3 linked regions of the Caenorhabditis elegans genome follow. The protein of the gene in region 3 purifies or fractionates together with the protein of the main gene of each other region. This does not show direct contact. Each region holds a gene or a part of one and is shown on either strand. Other genes may lie near its edges.

Region 1 (6,029 bases), on a different chromosome or scaffold from region 3:
GTAAGAAGGGATATCAGATTAACATGTGTGTGTATGTGAATGTTTCAACGACAAGAAGAAGAGCATGGGAAACGAATTCATGAGCTCTCTCTCTTTTGAGCAACGACTACTTATGCCTGAAGACGCAGAGAAATTGAAGAGAGAATCGATGGGAAGCAGTGGGTTTGAAAATTGTTTGAAGAAACAACAACAAGAAAGGAAAAAGAAAAGAAAAGGGGAGAATGCTAATTTAGCAGCAGAATGCAAGTGGAATGAGCACAGTGAATTGAATATTACATTGTGAAACATGGGTTGAGTACGGAGCTCGTGTTGACTTCTGAAGTGAGTAAGAAGCCAAGCAGTGGAAAGAGCGTGGCGAGACCTTCTAGGGCAAGATGATTGCCGAAAAATTTGCCGATTCTCGAATTTTCCGGCTCCGACAATTTGGTTTAAAATTGGAGATGTACATATTTTGAGGAGGGAAGTAGTCTATACACACCAGAAGTTGGCGGCAAACAATTTTTTTTGGCAAGTCGGCAAATCGGCAAATTGGTGGAATGGGAAATTTCCAGCAAATCGACAAGCTGGCAGATTTGCCGAATTTGGCGTAAAAACGGTAATTGCCGAAAATTTTCGGCAAATTGTGGTTTTGCACATTTTTTTTTGGAAATTTCAGAATTTCAATTTTAATCGGCAAAATTGTACGCATCCTATGAATATTCCTACATCTATTTTGAAAAGTTAGCTAATTCTATGAAAATATCTAAAGAAACGGTAAACCGGCAATTTGCCGATTTGCCGAACGGCAATTGCCGCAAACCCCTGGCACACACACGTTAATGACCCAGAAATGATATTCCAAAAATTTTCAATAACTTCCAAATTTTCAGCTAAAGTTTTGGTAACTTGCCAAATTTAAAAAATAGCGGAATTTCTGAATATTTTCGAGAATGCTGTATTTTTAACTCCTACAATTTTTGGTCGACTTCCAAAATTTATGTAGTAATTGTCACTTTTTGAATAAAAACTTTTTTCAAAGAGTTCTCCATATTTTTCACTATGATTTTTTGCTCATTTTATCACTAAAGGAAAGCTTGAAATAATTTCTCTATTGGTGGCGCCATTAAATTGTTTCAGAAGGGTGGGAGCACGTGGAGTCAAAAAGTCCCATTTTGCTTTGATCTTCGAAAAAATGCGGGAGAAGTGACGCAGACATCTCATTTGATTTCGCATGGTTAGGAGTGTGCTGACGTCACAATTTTTCTGGGAAAATATTCCCGCATTTTTCGTAGATCAAACCGCAATGAGACAGCCTGACACCACGTGTGGGAGTGATTATCTTATCTTCAGGTAATAACAAAAAAAGTTGTAGCTTACTGTTTTTCTTTCAGGGTCCTGACACGACCGAAACTTTTCAAATATCGTACCCCGCCAGTATTTAGATATTTTGATTTAACTGTTAAAACCTTACTTATTTTCAAAATGCGGGTACTGTAGTTGATAAGTTTCGCTCGAGCCAGGACCTCGATGCACAATTTTAGACAAACTACTCGCTGTAAAATTGCAGTTTCCTGTACACGTAGAAAGCTAGAAAAGAACAGGATAAATTGCGGAAAACCACAAGAAGATTCATGAATAGGTGGCAAATGAAGTGTCATCTTGCCTCGGAACAACATGACCTGGTGACCATGAAATTGTATCGGCGACTCTTTAATAGAGGAGTTCTTTGTTTATAAACACACCAGGGTGGCCTCGAAGAGTGCGGTTTGGAATGGTGTAATCCGAACGATGGTTTGCCTCCACTTTTCCCGGAGAAGACAATGATTAATTATCTCGGAGACACAAATCCGCCTCCTCTCCGGATAGCTCGAGCACTTCTTTTCTCGTAATAACGACATCTGCGCCGAACCACCAGCACCACCCGAAGAATGAATGAATAAGTGAGAACGAATTCGAAGAGCAGATGGTGGTGGTCTAAGGATCGGCTCATTTATGACGAGAAAATCGGTTCGATAATGAGCGGATAATCGGCCGAGCAAAGCGTGCGCGGAAAAGAGTAATGACCTGCAAAAAGCTGCGATATGGGATTTTAATTATTTACACAACCACTTGATGCACTTGGCACCTTGATTTAATGATGAGGGAAATTTTTATTAATAATAAATTTATTATTCAATCGGGAAAGTTTTTAACTGAAAAAGTATATAAAATAATGACTGAATAATTGTTAAAAAATCTGAAAGTTTTCTATTCTTCTAAAAAACCTTTGTTTTCATGCCTTTTCAAGATTTTATTTCTGTCGATCCAGCTCGAGCTTTTCCCAAAGAGCTCTTTTTCTTCTAAAAGCACCTACCGTATACACATTCGTCGTCAAATAGTGCGCATTGGGCGCGCACACCGAATATTACGACAAGATGCAGAAATCATCATTTTTGCAATTTTGAAGTTTCAACCGCATTCGAAGTCGCTTTTCTTTCCTTTTTTCTCACTGAAAGTTGAATTTTATTATTTTATTATTCTTATTTTCAGACGAGATGGCTGGTATGCACTTCTTGGTGGGAATTTCCACCGAAAACTACGTGATTTTGGCCGCAGACAAAGCCACTTTCGCTTATGGCGCTATTCTCGCTGACAGCGGTAAGGCTGAGAATCCGGGATGCAAAAAATATTCAAATTTATATTTTAGAAAACGACAAGGAATATAGACTGGGAAAGAAGTTGACAATGATGTGCATCGGAGAGGAAGGAGACGTCGCACAGTTCGGAGACTGGACCAAGAGAAATCTTCAGTTGTACTCGGTCAGAAATGGTTACGAGGTTTCACCATCATGTGCTCATCACTTCGTTCGGCGCAGTATCGCCGAAGGTCTCCGCTCGCAAGATCACTACACTGTCGATGTTCTGATTGGAGGATATGATGACAAGGAGGACAAGGCTTTCCTAGGATCTGTTGATTACTTGGCTAATGGACTCGGGCAACAGGTATTCAGCAATTTATTATCTTTTAGTCAAAATAAAGAATTATTATTCAGCCGTACTTGTTCCGAGGATTCTGCGGACGCTTCTGCTATGCCATTATGGATCGTGAATACAAAAAAGGTAAGTTTTAATTAAGTTTAAATTAATGTTCCCAACTTTACTGAATGATTTTCAGACATGACTGAGGCTGAAGGACTCGCTTTGATGAACAAGTGCATCGGAGAGGCTAAGAGACGTTTCGTCGCCAACATTCCGGGATACAAAGTGGTGATCATCGATAAGAAGGGATACCGCAAATTGGATGATGTTCTTTTCTAAATTTCTGGCCCCGGAATATATTTTTCACCGGTTATTACACTTCTCTCCTGCAACCTTTTTTGTGACTTTTCTCCCAGTTTTCTTCCGTTTTAATTTATTGACACATTCGAATGTATTTTCCATCATATTTTATTCTATCTAAAATTGAGCAATTGAAAAGATAGATAACAATTAAACGACTTGTTTCAGCAGCTGTTTGCGGCGTTCTTCGATGAGTAGACCTCCTCTTTGTTCAGCAGCGTGCTTCATATTCAATAGTGCTTCCCGTGTTTTCTTGGCTTCATCTGGTCTCGTGGAAAACTCATTCGACGACTTCTTATCACTTTTGGAATAGATTTCGTTGATCGCCTTTTTGTATTCATTGAGAATTCGTCCCTTCGCATCAGATGCCATTTTCTCTCTTCTTTCTTTACTCATCGGCGGCACATTCACATACAAAACAGCTCCCTCCTGTTGTGGAGTTACATTAAGAGTTGATTTCTGAAATAAACAAAGGAAAATATGAAAAGGACGGCAAGATGGTACCTGAATCGCCAATTTTGCTGCTTTAATTGCAGATGGATTATCCTGGAAGTTGATCATAATCATAAGTGGAGATTTTAATGTGACTCTGGCAATCATGGACAGTGGCTTATCCTTTCCATTTTCAAGCTTGACCATGACATCTTCATATTGCCGAATATCTACCTGGAAATAATTATTTTACTTTGATCAATTCTTTTAAAAAACTAACTTTAAGAGAAAAATGTCTTGTGAGCTCTTCGACAAGTAATCCTTCAACTCTTTGAATTTCTTTTATTGTTTCCTGGACGACTGCGTTTTCCTCCAAATTCGAGAAAACTGCTGGTGGATTCTGAAATATAACTTTTAATATAAATCTAAATGACTTATTCCAACCTTTTTCTTATTGTCCGCTTTTTTCTTAGCATTTACAACTGCAGAAGTAAAGATTTGAGCTTGTTTTTGAAGGAATTGAGCTCGAGAGGCACCTTGGGCTAATCGAATTACTGCTAAACGAATCATTAAATCTGTAAAAAGTATATTTTTTTAACAAAGTTAATTTTCACTATTATTGAATTTTAAATTGAGAAAATAAAACTGTTTTCACGAGAAATGCACTTTTGATTTAAAAAAATTTTGTAAACCGTCTGTCGTCTCTTCTATAGAGACACTCTCGTCTCAAACACAACGCGGGAATTCAAAACAGGGGTTTTATTTAAAAGTGTCTATTCATTATTCTGAAACAATATGAACTCAAAATTAGGATAATAAGGAAATTTTAAGAGTGACGAAGCAGATAAACTGTCGATTCATCATTTGAATCTCTTCTTGCAGTGGACGCCACATATCTTCTTATCGTCTCACTGAAAATTGTAACATTTCTGAAAGATCGATAGAAACTTGTTTTATATTATGAGAGAACAGGGCCGAGGTCGAGCACAGGGTCTCACCACGATTCACACCGAAAATATTGGTAGGTATTTTGCGCACAGATCAATATTATATCAATGCGAATTATACTAAATACAGCATTTATTTTATTACAGGAAAAGCAAATCCTGAGAATGCGTATTGCACAACTTATTTGACGCGCAAGATATCTCGCAGAGAAAATTACAGTAACTCTTAAAATACCGTACCGTTTGTGTCGATTTACGGGCTCAATTTTTGAAACGAATTTATTTTCGAAAAGTGACAGCGTTATTCCATTTTCCTTCGTTTCTTTGTATTATTTTCTCATTAAAAAATTCTATCGATAAATCAATAATTTCAAATCATTTAAAAAATCGAGCCTGCCGTAAATCGAAACAAGCGCTACAGTAGTCATTCGAATAATTGTAGCTTTCGCTACAAAATATTTTGTGCGTCAAATATATTTCGCAGTACGCACTCTCAGAATTTTTCGTTGTGAATCGTGGCGGGACCCACAGGGAAAAATTAGGAAATTTCAGACCCCTCACTTCCCATCACAAACCTGCTGACACCAGTTGGCAAAACCAATTGATCGTTCCTGAAAATAAAATAATGCGGAAAAATAATCGCAGAAGACGTACTTGACGGCTAATTCAAAAGCTTGTGCGTACTCTTCAGTGGATAATGTCTCTTCAGAAAATGTTGTAATGTTTAGAACTGTCGGTGTCTCAAATGGCTGAAAGATTTGAGAATATGGTTATTCGGAAAAATAGCATGCGCCTTTGAATATGGGTTACTGTAATGGCCCGGAAAATAAAATCGAATGTTATATATTTTTGCATGATTCGAATCTAGACTTCAAAGGAAGAGAACGCAAAAAAAAATCAAGATGCAAGAGCGCCCCGCGGCCAAATGGAAACGCCCATAAACGTTGGGTCTCGTTAGGTAAAGCTATAAATTCAAAAAAAAAAATTGAAAACCTTTCAATTCGCGGTTTTGTGAAACGAGACCCAACGTTTGGAGGAGGAGAACGCTCAATTTCATTGTTTTCTTTTCCTGTGTCTTGATAACAACGAATTGATAACAACGAAAAAAAAATAATAAGAGAAATACATTTAAAGGCGCATACACAAAATATTTATGCATCTCCCTTGAATATTGTCTTCGCGAAAGTGTAACAATAAAAATAAATTTTGTTTAAATTTAGTTTATTCTCCCAAATTTTAACTGAAAATTCAAAAAACATATCCAAAAATGTGTCTTGCCCCGCGTCCAAATTTAAATTTAAATTTCCAAATCACCTCAACATGAACTCTTTTCGGATTCGGAAAATTGATAAC
Region 2 (6,582 bases), on a different chromosome or scaffold from region 3:
CGTGACTAGGATGAGGGCTTGCCTGAATTCAAATATAGGAACTTCATTTGATACTACAGTGACCCACCTGTTTCAAGTTAATCGGAGTCGATGGCGTTGTCGTCGAGAGTTGACTATGTGAAGACATTGAAGTCAAAGACATTGTACCTTCCAATACTGATATACTTGATGTAGTTCTTCTGGTTCTGACCAAGAATTCATCAGATCTTTTATTTGATACCTCTTTCTTTGTCTTCTTTGATTTTTCAATAACACACGAGAAACGTTGTTTCGGGGGAAATGGATTGTGGTAGAGAATGTGCTGGAAATTAGAATTTAGAGATACGTGCATGAATTGGAAGCTAATCTGTAGACTATTATTCATTCTCAATATTATTTTTTACAAAAGATATTCACATCAAAGTAGCACGTTGCTTAAGTATTCAGAAGAATTGACTTCCAGGAGGCACGGGTATTTTATTTTAGAAAGGAGCGACTTTATTATGAGCCACCAATAGAAAAGCATGGCACATCTTTAAGATATAAAGTTCTCGCAATTTCTGGTCTATCAGCTGGGGAACTATATGAGTATGTACACATGTAAGATATCTCGCACCGAACCTATTTACTGTACTCACATAAAATTCCAAACTGACTACACCGTGCAGGTATAATCTAGATGACCTTTTTTGCCAATTTTAATTATTAGACATACGATAATTATTACAAAATTGTTTTCTTTGATCTTTGTTCTTTGAATCTTGAAAAGATCGAAGTACCTCCATATAAAATCGTTTTGCTTTTTCACAAGCATTACGAAGCGATTTCCGATTATCAGCCGAATTGAACGCAGCTTCAAAATATTTTGAATCGACTAATTCTGTAGCAGTTCGACGAGAAACTTCACTGATTGCAAATGAAACAAAATTCCTTCCATTTTCCGATTGGCAACATGTTACAGTCATTCTTTGAGGATCACAAGATGCATCAGCAAGATAATTGTTCACACAATTATACGACATCTGAACAAGAATCCATTTGATTTTTGAATTTTCAGTTTGCAAAATAAACGTTTCAAAATCCGTCTAACTCACAGTGAAAGAAGTAGGATCTTCAATTTTTCGAGTTGCCACAGCTCCATTTTTTGTAAAAATCACTTTTTGTGAATTAGTCTTCATACAAGTTGGCATTTTTAGAAATCGTAAGTACAGAAATAAATTTTTAAAAAACGAACCAGAAGCGGTTGAGCAAAACGTGAAAATTTAAATAGGATAATTTAATATTTTTCAAATTTTTGGTAAATTGCCAAATTTTCCAAAAAAAAAAACGCAATTGAAGTATAAAGCTCGTAGAAAATATGTTTTTGTCAATTTCCTAAAATATGTCCTAAAATATCCTAAAACTAAATAAATCTAAATTTTTCAGCAGCTTCAGTAGAGACTGCAACATCTAATGAGATCTTCGTTGGTGACTACAATGCTCATAATCAGTTCAATCCAAGTTTTTTTAAAACTTAAGCAGGAGCTGAGGCAACAAAAACAGTTGTGTAAAAGTCATGAATATTTAGGTTGTCGGGGGGTTCAATCCATAACTAACTTACCATGTTTTGATATACTTCCTTTCCCCTCAAACTACACGAATGTATTTTATGATAGTTTTTGTAGTGTAATAACTTCTAATAACTTGTCTAATAACTTGTATCTTACTTGTTTCTGCTTTTATTATTAATACATTATAATAAATTCAAAAACAAATTTGTTCAACTTTTAAGTAGGGAAAAATTGAATAATTACCAAATTGAATAGACACACTAGTTGTCAATAGATTAGTAGGTCTGGAACAAATTGGTAAACTGTACATATAGTAAACCATATATAATAAATATATTTACTAACCAGCTCATGAATGTAATTTTAATTCAATGTTTAAAATTAATAAAACTTATCTAAATTGTTTTCATGCCCGTTTTTTAGTATACTCACTTACTACAACTCTTATCTTATCTACTACAATAACCTACAACTTAACTCTTATTTGTCTCCATTTTCCCGCTCCTCTGTCTCGATATGTTCCGTTTTCTCCAAAACTGCAAAATTGTATGTTTGTCAGTGTCTCCACCATTACACCACCGTCTCAACCCTGCAAGACCGGTGCATACACGCTCCGTCGACGGCCACGCGGTTGGTTATTGCCTGCGTAGCGACCCACACACAGTGATGGGATACCGAGTTCAACCGTATTTACGTAAGACCTTCGCAACTGTTTAGGCAACTTTTGAAAGTCTTTTTTTGAAAAGTTTCAGACTGTTTTCTTGTGATTTTCAAGACAAAACTGTGTAAGTATTAGGGAATGCTTGGTTTTTGTCTTAGATATAGTATCTACCTACAATATGCTAAGTTGATATGATAAATTATTGATTGATGATGTTTTTTCTATTTGTCATCATTTTTAGGTTATTATGGTTTAAATCAATTTAGATACATTCAATTTGCTGACTTTTTTGAAATGGCTGTAAAAACTAGTAGATTTATCAAATTGGATCTAGGTCCCCATTTCTTAAGGACTATGTATTTGACGCTTTACTATATTTTTTCTGGTTTTTATTTATTCTTAAATATTGTTATCATTTAAAAAATTAACTTGTGCGTTGTAGGGTACCAATATGTCTGACGATCATCACGACGACGAGCACTTCCACACCGGAGACTCTGGAGCTGCTGCCACATTCCCAAAGCAGTGCTCTGCTCTCCGTAAGAACGAGCATGTCATGATCAAGGGACGCCCATGCAAGGTTCGCTTTGTTTTAAAATGTTGAAAAATTAAATAAACTTAGAAGATGTTTTGTGAAAAAGTGCGATGAATGACTTGGATAAGTTTCGGCTGAAACTTGGTGATGCCAACTTTTTAAAACTGCTGAGCACTTTTTCTCAAACAAAAACCCAATAAATATGAAAGAACTATATATATAGTTATATAAACTATTCACTCATAGTTTTTTACAAAAACTGAAAGCTTACCAAATTGATAATTAATTCCAAAACAAAAAACTCCTGAAATTATTTAGCTCACAAAATACCCAGATAAGATGATATGATTTAATCCTAAAAACTGTTAGTCTAAACATTAGATAGGCCAGATATTTATATTCTCAGAGGCGAGTGAAGAGGCGGATCAGAGACACCCCGCCATGCTTTTACCGGAAGGAAATTCTAAGACAGTTAATTTGAATTTTAGTTCTAATTTAAATATTAACATTTTAAAATTGCAAAAAATATTTGAGGAATAAAAAAAAAGTATACATACAATCGTAGCACCATGCTTCTAGAATGTGGACAAATCAACTTTGCGTAACCATAAAAGTTATCTGAAAGTTGTAGATCGTCGAAATGTCGACCTCCAAGACCGGAAAGCACGGTCACGCTAAGGTCCACATGGTCGCCATCGACATCTTCACCAGCAAGAAGCTTGAAGATATCTGTCCATCCACCCACAACATGGATGTTCCAGTCGTCAAGCGTCGTGAGTACTTGGTAGGTTTTCCAAAATTTCATATTGCTAAACTATCACTAAATTTTTATTCAATTTTCAATATGCTTGTTCTTTCAGTTGATGGCCATCGATGACGGATATTGCTCCCTCATGGACCCAGAGTCCTGCGAGCAAAAGGATGACCTCAAGCTTCCCGATACTGAGCTCGGACAACAGATCCGTGATGCTTATGAGAAGGACGAGGGATCCGTTTTGGTCCAAGTTGTCTCTGCTATCGGAGAAGAGGCTATCCTCGGATGGAAGGTCAGCACCAAGGAATAAATCGTCAAAGGAACCCCCTGCCAACTGCTCATGAATCCTGATTCCCCCGTTCCACCCCGCAAAACTTTCACTGTATGAATGGTGCTGCTTGACATTCCATTCCAGAATTCAAGTATAACCCATCATCAAGTGCTCGTGTTATTTTTCTTGTTTTCATTAACTTTTTTTTTTGCTTTTTTTCAAAACATAACTGAGAATTTAATTTCAAATAAATTATCAGAAAATTTTGGTTTCCATTTTATTTAAAAACTATCAATCCACCTCCATGAATTCACTCGTTTTTTCTTTTGCCTTCTTGTTCCATCATCATCCGTAGGTAATTTGTTTCTGTTCCATCATCTCACACACTCTCTCTTATACACGCACAACAATTGACTAAATTTGATTTATAAATGAAGTTGCACGGAGAGTTGCTTTTCGATTCACTTTCATTTGATTCTGAATCTAGGAATAGTTGAAGAGAAAAGAAGCGATTTCATTTCCGGTACTGGGAGATATCTGACCAGAATCTTAGTCAGATGCTTCTTTTGTTTTTCGATTGACTAGGAAATATGTTACTAAAGAATAATTCCTAGAGTTTTTAAGTTTTTCAGTTCTAAACGCTTTCCTATAAACGCAATCCTGGAAATGTTTAATGACTCGTAAAGCAACCGTTTTTGACAAGAGACACCTGTGATTTATACGTTTTTCAAGCTTCATCAAAATAGTGCCTAGAATTTCCATTCGTTCTTTCAACTTTCAGTCTGAAAAGAAACATATCGATGTATCTTGTTAGGTTATTTTGGCTCACTTTTATAAAAATATCTTCACTTACTGGAACGGTCATATTGTTTTTTTGCGTACTTATACCTTTCTCTGCTTGACTTCAAAACTTAATTTTAACAAAAACAAGAGGCGTGGAAAACTTTAAAAGCTTCTTGGTAACAACTCGACCTTTCTAATGGGATTTTAAAGTCTAGACACGTGTTTACCAATTATCAGCATACTTGTTGTATTGTCTATTTTAGTTTATAAATTAGTTCAAGAATAAGGTTCAATGTTTTTGAAATTGACGCTGTTTTCATTTTTGATTTGACAGCTTTCAAGGGCACGTTACCAGCTTTTCCAAACCGAGCTGTAGAAATCTGCCAATGGTGCACTAAAAAACTTTCTACAAGTATCGTGCTGAATTTCTTAACTTCTGTAACTGAAACCTCGTTTGTATGAACAAAAACTTAGTTAAGACCGTGTAATAGTTCAAATTGAGTTTGCATTGTTGATTCGCATCAGAAATTTAAAACAAGCATATCAGGCATTGAATATAATTTGCAAATTTCAGAATCGCCGCTCAAAATATCTGAAAAAAGAATATGACGGATCAAAGAATAAATAAAGAGAAAATGGGCGTGGCTGAGCCGTCTCATATTCACTCATTTCCCGACGGACCGCCCGTTCCTTTTTCTCTTCAACAAAATTGTCCTCGTTCGTTTCGTCTTCCACCCGTCAAAAATAGAATAACAACCACTATCGCCGTGTCGTCACTTTTCAATTTTTTAGTCGTTAGTAGTTTTAAAAAATGACATGTAAAAGCTTTCTTTGACATGGTTTTAGATATATGTTTCTCTTTTTATGTTTTCAATTTTGAATTTTCGCTTGAATGATTTTCTTCTTTTTGTTTCAAATTGAACACGAATCTGCTTTTTTTGAGGTGGACACCAGACGCGAGAAATCGAATACTACTTGAAAAAATATAAATTTCTTTTGGTTTCTTATTCATCACCTAGTTTTTAAATGAGTTGTTTTTTTGTATTTGAAAACAATAACACATAAATTATTAGCTTTGTTAAAGAAACGTTCAATCCGGTTAATTTTCCCGTGTTTTCTAGAGATTTAGATTTTTGCATACATATGATAAATTCACAATATTTGTTCAATCGAAAATGTCTTAAACCAAATATTGTTTAAAAAATTCAAATTAATTTGGTACTTGAGAAAGCTAATAAATTAAATAAGTGTAGGCTTAAAACATACCTGTTAAAAGTAGGTAAAGATTCTTTGACCTGTAAACCGGATGTTTTATAAAAGTTGAAGAGTTCAACACGTGTATCATTTCCTGTATTCATCCATTTCACTTCCGGTCTAACGGAACTTGCCGAAAATTTGCAAAAATTTAGTTTCTCCGCATGACAGATTTTTTAATGTTCACATCATATTAATTTTGTTATTCTCTATTATTTTGAATTAATTCATGTTTTCTTCTAATTGTAATTCACATAGCTTATTAGTATCTTGATGTTTTTGCCAATAGTTTGACTATACACATTTCCATAGAGCTTTTCTTGTACAGACCATGTTTTTTGTTTTCCAGTATGCTCGATGTTAGTTTCCAAATTCGTAATGCTCGACACATCTGACAATGTAATTTTACGCAAGTAATTTTTGTTAGCGATCAAAGACCGGTCAAGAAAACGATCACTTCAGACAGTTTGCCATACGTGTTGTGCGTTTTGTGTCATAAAAACAAGCAACGGAATAAAAATAGATTAAGTCCAAGAAAGTACAATGCAATGTGTAAAAAAGATTCGACAATGTGGGTGATATTTTTCTTAGAATTTGCGTCCGCGGAGGATTAACGTTCCCCGCCGATTCATTTTCTGGAATATATACATACATAGATATCAAGAACACTTTTCTTCCCGTAGATACAATTTCCAGGAAAGGTCTCGTTAAAATGTTGGGTTTACCGATAATTTGCATCGAATTCATTGCATCGACCATCATTAAAAATTTCAAGAACCGTCTTGCATGTATGAT
Region 3 (7,962 bases):
ACCGCACGGAACAACAGACAAACGCATTGTAAAACTGATGCACAGCGCAACAGAAGACAAATGAGCAAAAGTGGGTGGAGCTGAAGTTGATGGCGGTCGCAGCCGGGTGGAGGTGCAGAATGAATGATGGATGATGAGCACAACAACAACGGCGGAATGAATATGCATTTCGAAAAATGAAATATGAAGCGTAAAAAAGAAACTACTGAAGTCTCATCAGTCAAGGTAAGAGGAAAAAAGACAATCTTCGAAACAGCCAGAGAATGCCCACACAATTATATAGTACGATTTACTCATGGCTAGTTGAAACTTTCACCTGGCGACTTATTCCAATACGACAATGAAAATAATAGGTAGGATTGGAGACCAAGTAGACGTACTAATTTGTATTGAATCTAAAACTTTAGTCGGAACAAACTAGACGTGAGATTTTTGAAGCGGTCAAACTTTCGGTGTCATGGTAAAATGGTTAAGCTAAATGCTTTTTCTAGTTTTCCAATTTAATGGCATATCTGTAGTTAATAAGAACGTTGCATCAAATTTATAGACGTAGAACAGAAGGTATGCCACCACCTGTACCTCATGTTACGTGACACAAATTAAAGATGACTATGTGGTACAGTACCAGTTTCGTGGAATGGCTTCCTGTGAAAACTGTCAGATACGATTTACCACAAAAGTGGGAGGCATTTGTGTAGAATTGGGATTGACTTTGAGTAAATGAAAATGGATAGTCTCGTTCGATTTAGGTGTCGAAGTTAATGCCCCGAATGAAAGAGGAAAAGGTGGATTAGACGATACTTTCATGAGGAACAACAGACAAAAAAAGACAGTGTAAAAACTGAAAGAAAAAGAGATGGTATCTCGATAAAGGTTCCCACACAACTAATCTGATCTTATAGATACATAGAGAGAGGATTACGTCTATTTTATTCAGCGCAATATTGTGTGCACAATAACGTTGCAGAAGAACACATATGACGATAAATAATTGACGTTGGTTAATAGACGTATTCTGACTAGGAAATGAGGGCACCGTCACGTTTCCGGGAAGTATATGCAATAGGAAGACTGTTTCAGTCTGTTCGCACCTTTTACTGGTTGCACCATCTGGGCAGCTGTGTAGCAAAATTAAGTGTCTAATCTGTTTTTAGAGTATTGATAGGTGTGAAAACTTCCAAAAAACTAAAAAAAAAAGGTTACGATTTTGAACTGGAATTATAGTAATTGCAAATATGCTTGGTTCTGTCATCAATTGCAAAATAAAGGTTTGCCAGTAAGAGTACGACCTCAAATTGCAAGTCGTTTGGCGGGAAACAAGAAGTGAACACGGCAGGGTGCCAACATTCACACTTTCGTCGCAACTTGCGAGAACAAAACCTGGTTTAGTTCTGCGTACCCACAAAAACCAATTACTTGTACATTGCTATTAGGAAAAACTATTATCGATTTTCAACATGTGATTATTTTTAATGCACCACGTAAAGCTAATTTAAATCTACCAAGTGAAAAATGGAGTTCCGTTGAATTATATACATTTATTGTTATTACTTGAAATCGTTCTTTCCTAAAGTTAAAAGCAACTGGGAAGCGTTATTTCGAACCAACTCTTTGGCTGATTTTCAAGACTGAAAAAAATAGCGAGGTTTGTTTATGATTTCTAGGGTCTCATGGACTGCGAATATTGAAAATGCGAATACTTATTCAAATAATGTGATGCGTACTTCTGCTTTCTGCCAAGATTTTAGATCAAAAATTAACTACGACTCAAAAACTAGGTGAAAGAACAAGTGTGTGCTGGAGCAAATTGATGGATACTTGAGAGAATGAGTGAATCCGCGCGGAAACATTTCCCGCTGTCTCCGCCTTCACTGCCCTTGTTCAATGTAAAACCAAAAACAATGCAAAGTATAGTGGATGGGAAGAGGAAGAAGTATTGGGCAGAAAACATGAAGAGGACACAAACATCTACTGTACGAAAATGATTAAACTTTGAGAAAACGGAAGTGATCGAAACAATTTTGACTAGTTTAATCATACTTATCGAAATTTCAGATAAATGATATTTTGAAATTCGACACCAACAAGAAGGTGAACATTGTGCTTTGTAATCTAACAAATGACAATTCCGGCAGAGGTGCCAATCATTCCTACATTCATTCCGTTCGAACTGACATGTTACACTGCCAACGTTCGCATATTACCCCCCGTTGAATTATCCTTGAATCCACCTTTCCCCTGTTCGTGTTTTACACTCATGTGCGGGAAACTCGGCAAAATTCACATTAGCTCACCTCGTCTCGGAGTTGTGATAATCATCCGCTTCGAAACCTGAGAAAGTTCAAAACTTTAAAGAAAAAATTGAAAAAAGTGTAGAAATAATGCAAGTCATGCATTGAAGTTTCCTAACAGAAAGAATACATAATGGAAGATTGAAAAATGAATGTTTTCTTCTCTTATTCACATGAATATTATCACAACCAGACACATAGCCAGGATAAATAAAGTAAGGTGGAAGTATTTGGTATTTACGGAAGCTTTCAAAGTCAATAAATTATGTTACTATTATCTTCATTATCCCAAACCGTGATCCTCGAAGAATCCTTGTGGAGTTTCTTCTTCTTGAATGAGATCTTGGGCAGCAATCGCCTTCAAAACTTGTTTTTTACTGGTTTCCTGGATTTCACCAGCCAGTAAAAATTCGTCGAGTATGAAGTAAGCTTTTTCGAAGTTGAAGATGATATCCAGCTCACAAACACTTCCAAAATATTTGTCGAGGAGTTCTACGTAACGATGAATGACTTCCAAAGTGATGAGCTCGTTGTCGTTTTGTTCGATGGCGCAGCAGAAATACAGAGACGCGTATCTGAAATTGTTGAGATTAAAAATTGAACGAATTGTTAAGTTTTTGTTTCATTTATCACAAAAATGTCTATTAAACAACTAAATTTGACGCCAAAATATTTTTCATGAATAAAAAACGTAATAACTTCGGATTTAGGTGTGTAACTATAATTTTCAAGAAATTTTGATTATAAACTTGTAAGTTATTTTCAGAAGGAACAATTTTAAGGCATGACAGGAAATGGGAGTTGTTACTTTTGAATATAAAATACGAACCGTTTGTAGACAACTTTCAAATCCTTGTATTCGAGGAACGCACACATTTTCGGTTTTCTCGCCAGAATTTGAGTGATGAGTTCGCGGCAAATTTTCTTCTTTTGCTGAAAATTGAGTGTGAAATTACACATATGAATAGGAAATACACTTACCTTGTCGGGGTAAGCAGTGTACCATTTCTGCAGCCGCAGTTTGCCCTGGCGACTGAAGAGAAGCATGTATTGCATCATGTTTACTGAAAACAAGAGTATGAACAATCGTTTGCAAACTTTAAAACGCTGAAAATACTTAAAAATCAATTGAAAAATTAGATTTTCTGAATAAAACAGACATGTGGCTTCGTCAATAAAAACAACGAAGCTCCGAAAATACGAAACCGCGCGTTGTTTAGTTCTCACCAGAGCGCGCTTGCATTGTCATCATCAACGCTGTATTTTTTTAAATCATTCTTCGTTCTACTTATTTTATATCTTTCAATTGTTTTCTTTTTCAAACGTGGACTTATTATTTTTCATATAAAATCATTATTTTCTAGAATGGGGCAACAACAGTCAGGTTTCGGTGGAAGAGGAAATGACCGCGGTGCCGGAGATGGAGAGAAGAAGGAAAAGAAGAAATATGAGGCACCGATTCCATCTAGGATTGGAAAGAAGAAGAAGGGGTCTAAGGGACCTGACGCCGCTAGCAAACTTCCAGCTGGTAAGTTTCAATCTAGTGTGTATTTTAACTGATGATTCGGTTTTAGTCACACCACATGCCAGATGCCGTCTGAAGTTGCTGAAGAGCGAAAGAATCAAGGATTATTTGTTGATGGAGCAAGAATTCATTCAAAACCAGGAGCGTTTGAAGCCACAAGAGGAGAGACAAGAAGAAGAGCGCGCCAAGGTGGACGAGCTCCGTGGAACACCAATGGCAGTCGGATCACTTGAGGAAATTATCGATGATCAGCACGCCATTGTTTCAACTGTAAGAATCAATATATCGATAATATTTTCTTATTTCAATATTTAGAACGTCGGAAGTGAGCATTACGTCAACATCATGTCATTCGTCGACAAGGAACAACTCGAGCCGGGATGTTCAGTCCTTCTCAACCACAAGAATCACGCCGTCATCGGAGTTCTCTCCGATGATACAGATCCTATGGTGTCTGTCATGAAGCTCGAAAAAGCACCACAAGAAACGTATGCCGATGTTGGTGGTCTTGATCAGCAAATTCAAGAAATTAAAGAAGCAGTTGAGCTTCCACTGACTCATCCTGAATACTACGAAGAGATGGGAATCCGGCCTCCAAAGGGAGTTATTCTATACGGTTGTCCTGGTACTGGAAAAACGCTACTTGCCAAGGCTGTTGCTAATCAGACGTCAGCTACTTTCCTTCGTATTGTTGGTTCGGAACTTATTCAGAAATACCTCGGAGATGGTCCAAAGATGGTCCGTGAGCTCTTCCGCGTTGCTGAGGAGAATGCACCATCAATTGTGTTCATTGATGAAATTGATGCTGTTGGAACAAAACGTTACGATTCGAACTCTGGTGGAGAACGTGAAATTCAGCGGACTATGCTTGAACTTCTCAATCAACTTGATGGATTCGATTCCCGTGGAGATGTTAAAGTTTTGATGGCCACTAACCGCATCGAATCTCTCGACCCTGCTCTCATTCGTCCAGGTCGTATTGATCGTAAGATTGAATTCCCCCTGCCAGATGAAAAAACGAAGCGCCGTATCTTCCAGGTTGGAACAATTTTTTCTAAACATTATATGAAGTTTTTATTTTCAGATCCATACATCTCGAATGACACTCGGCAAAGAAGTTAACCTCGAAGAGTTCATCACAGCAAAGGACGAGTTGAGTGGAGCTGATATCAAGGCTATGTGCACAGAAGCTGGTCTCTTAGCTCTTCGCGAGCGTCGTATGCGTGTCACGATGGAAGATTTCCAGAAGTCCAAAGAAAATGTGCTCTACCGTAAGAAGGAAGGAGCTCCAGAAGAACTCTATTTGTAAATGTGCCCCGTTTTATTTATTTTTTTTGTATTTTCTCTTTCCCAATTTATTTTATTCCCTTTTTGAACGTCCCGTTGCACAAAAACCGATTTAATGTAATTTTAAATCTGGATTGATTGAGGTAAATGATTCATGATGAAAAATATTCGTTTATGTGACATTGGGATTGATGGTTGGTAAGGAAAGTTCATGAATTTAATGAAACTGAAGAAGAAAAAAATGGAGAAAATCGACTTGAAGATTTACCAGTGAAGAAGTTGATGGTTTCGAAGAATAAGAAAATGATGTTACAGTTGAATGTATTTCTTATCACAATAATTGGAAACGGAAAGTTGGGGGAATTTCAGTAGCTAAAAGTGAAACTATAATGAGAAAAGAGAGAACTGGCTGAATTTAAAGATATGGAAATTGGATAGAAAATCGGGAAATTGTATGAAATTTTGTAATAATGAGAGCTGGACGGGGAAAATTACAAATGCACGCTACAGAAAATGATTTGAATCGGAATCTAGAGTGGTCGGAGATCAGCATCCGGATGTGGTTGAATCGGGGTTGGAGTTGAAACGAAGTTCATTGTTGGCTGACCAGAAGGTGTCAGACCAGTGTTGGAGGAAAGCAAGTCGAATGGGCCTGGAATGAAAATCGTTAATTATATTTTGAGAAATAAAAATAACACTTTTTAGCCCGGGATGAAACTGGAAAAATTTAAGAAAATTTTCGTATATTGTAGAAATATCGGCATTTGAATTAAAATTATGCAAATTTCTGGGTCTTGGCACGCCAACAACTTTCCAGCTACCGTACTCGCAATTGTAGTTCCAATTTTAACATTTTTTATATTTAACGTTGAGTTTTTTCAAAATATTCCAATTTTTGTATGATTATTGCAATATTGATATCTCAAAATACACGTGGTGTCAGAGTGTCCTATATCGGTTTGATCTCCGAGAATCGCGGGAATTTAGACGCATACTTCAAGTATCGCATGGTTAAGAACGTGATGGCGTCACATTTTTTAAGGGAATAAATTCCCGAATTTTTTGTAGATCAACCCGTGATGGTACAGACTGACACCACGTGAAAATATTGGTAGAAACTAGAAGAGCTCGGGTACGGTAGCTGAAAAGTTTTGCTCGCGATGAGACTCAGATTTAGGATTAAGAATTGCAATATTGTAAAAAATACAATTTTTATTCATTGGCTACAATCCGATTAAATAAACTACCTGGTGGGCCTCCGAATAGTCCATTCCCTGTACTCTGCGGTGTTTGATTTTGATATTCCCCCCCGAGACGGAAAGGCCTGCTGGGAGTAGTGATCGGCTGATTTTCAACGATTCTGGAAAGCGTCGGAAGAGCTGACGGACGTTCAACGTCGTCTGGCATGGTCAATGATGTCAGTGTTTGGTCCAACTCGATTTTTGGAATCTGAAGTAAAATGTAATGTAAAAGATTCAATAAATTAAAATGAATGTACTCACTTTGCGTTCCGGTTCTGCGAAAACGTTTTCCGAACGACCGTGTAATGAGTTGGCATGCGAAACCGGGATAGAAGTGATAACATGAATTCCAGCAGCACTCGTGCTTGCCGGTAAAGCTGGTGGTGGCATAGAATTGATATTTCGATCTTTGATATTTTGAATACATGAGATTGGAGGAAGAAGTAATTGATCAATTGAAGGCTTATAGTCCTCAACTGGTGAGTGTTGTTCAGACGATGAAGATGAATGTCCTGATCGAATAGAATATGGTACAGAGTCAGCACGTGGTGGATGAACTCTCAACGAATGTTGAAGATATGGTTGTGATGGTGGAACTGTTGATGGTGGGATTATCAATCGATTTATCTCATGTGTTCGTTCTTCGCGACTCAGTTTACAATCATGCGTTTCCAAATAGTTTTTGAGACTGTTGAGCTTATTTCGGATGTTGTTGCATTCCGCCATTTTTTTGTCGTTGCTATTTTTGAAGTCATTTACTTGCTGAAAATAGATCGTGAAATTTATCTTTAATACAATGTTGAAACTTCCTATTTTGAAGTCTAAAAAAACCTATAAGTGTGGTTTTTTTTCAAAATGAAACTGAAATATATTGCAAATCATAGTGAATTTATAAGTTAAAAAATGTTTGAAAGTTAATTATAAAAACTACTAAATTCTTGGAACTAGGCCCAAAACTGTTTTCTGAAATATTTAAAATTTTGAATTTTTTACCGGCATTTCTGAATCTAGAACATTGCAATCAATTTTAAATTTTGTTTTCTATGAAAACGTTCTGTTATTGAGTTAAGAAGATTCCAATAGAAATAGTCAAAACTGGGCCAGCAAGTTGTCAGCTGCTATAACTTTTTCCAGGGTGAGATTGCTAACAATTTTCCAACGGCAAAAATGTAGCCAAAGTTATCATCAACATTTTGCTTGTTGAAAGTATTTAGAGAAGCTGTATAGTTTTTGAGTTATGCTTAACTGAAAATTGCTTCAAAATTTAAGTGTTCACTAAAGGTAGATACCCCACTGCAATTAAAATATCCTAATTTTTTATTTGGTGAATGTAATTATTTTTGAATAAAACTATTACATCTTGCAATTCCTTCATCAAATCAATTCTCCTTTGCCGACATCTTGCAGCAGCTTCTTTATTCCTTTGACGACGTTTCAGCCTCTTATCATCATCGTCATCCTCCATATTATCCTGAAAATCATTGACTCTAAGTTTCCGTATTTTGAGGATTTGTTAATATTTTCTCTGATTACTCAAAAGATTATCCATTTCGTTATATTTCTTGTCAAGTGGCTCATTTTCCCCTCTGCTTGGGGTGGGTGTCTCTCTAAGCTTTTA

The links.
Region 1: the proteins of rpt-2 (region 3) and pbs-4 fractionate together in Caenorhabditis elegans (co-fractionation; one large-scale study listed by BioGRID). This does not show direct contact.
Region 2: the proteins of rpt-2 (region 3) and iff-2 fractionate together in Caenorhabditis elegans (co-fractionation; one large-scale study listed by BioGRID). This does not show direct contact.

What each region holds. Positions count from the first base shown.
Region 1 is NC_003279.8:3,906,239-3,912,267, forward strand, and holds pbs-4 (Proteasome subunit beta type-2), read left to right. Parts: upstream 1-2,508; 5' UTR 2,509-2,513; coding exon 2,514-2,616; intron 2,617-2,665; coding exon 2,666-2,961; intron 2,962-3,011; coding exon 3,012-3,078; intron 3,079-3,133; coding exon 3,134-3,276; 3' UTR 3,277-3,447; downstream 3,448-6,029. Other genes in the region: mrrf-1 (Ribosome-recycling factor, mitochondrial), read right to left, coding at 3,448-3,756, 3,802-3,963, 4,010-4,129, 4,174-4,299; T20F5.8 (TPA-induced transmembrane protein), read right to left, coding at 4,556-4,640, 5,252-5,287, 5,331-5,425, 5,991-6,029. UniProt on the Caenorhabditis elegans protein: Non-catalytic component of the proteasome, a multicatalytic proteinase complex which is characterized by its ability to cleave peptides with Arg, Phe, Tyr, Leu, and Glu adjacent to the leaving group at neutral or slightly basic pH.
Region 2 is NC_003280.10:8,557,015-8,563,596, reverse strand, and holds iff-2 (Eukaryotic translation initiation factor 5A-2), read left to right. Parts: upstream 1-2,632; 5' UTR 2,633-2,641; coding exon 2,642-2,770; intron 2,771-2,824; exon of another isoform or gene 2,825-2,906; intron 2,907-3,356; coding exon 3,357-3,509; intron 3,510-3,585; coding exon 3,586-3,789; 3' UTR 3,790-4,016; downstream 4,017-6,582. Other genes in the region: F54C9.14 (PID domain-containing protein), read right to left, coding at 1-22, 68-301, 759-1,001, 1,074-1,169. UniProt on the Caenorhabditis elegans protein: Translation factor that promotes translation elongation and termination, particularly upon ribosome stalling at specific amino acid sequence contexts.
Region 3 is NC_003283.11:6,013,363-6,021,324, reverse strand, and holds rpt-2 (putative 26S proteasome regulatory subunit 4), read left to right. Parts: upstream 1-3,655; 5' UTR 3,656-3,656; coding exon 3,657-3,819; intron 3,820-3,865; coding exon 3,866-4,086; intron 4,087-4,131; coding exon 4,132-4,854; intron 4,855-4,900; coding exon 4,901-5,125; 3' UTR 5,126-5,276; downstream 5,277-7,962. Other genes in the region: picc-1 (PAC-1 interacting and coiled-coil domain-containing protein 1), read right to left, coding at 2,295-2,319; aps-1 (AP complex subunit sigma), read right to left, coding at 2,575-2,866, 3,121-3,224, 3,273-3,350; Transcription factor fos-1, read right to left, coding at 5,634-5,755, 6,351-6,552, 6,606-7,106, 7,702-7,815. UniProt on the Caenorhabditis elegans protein: The 26S proteasome is involved in the ATP-dependent degradation of ubiquitinated proteins. The regulatory (or ATPase) complex confers ATP dependency and substrate specificity to the 26S complex.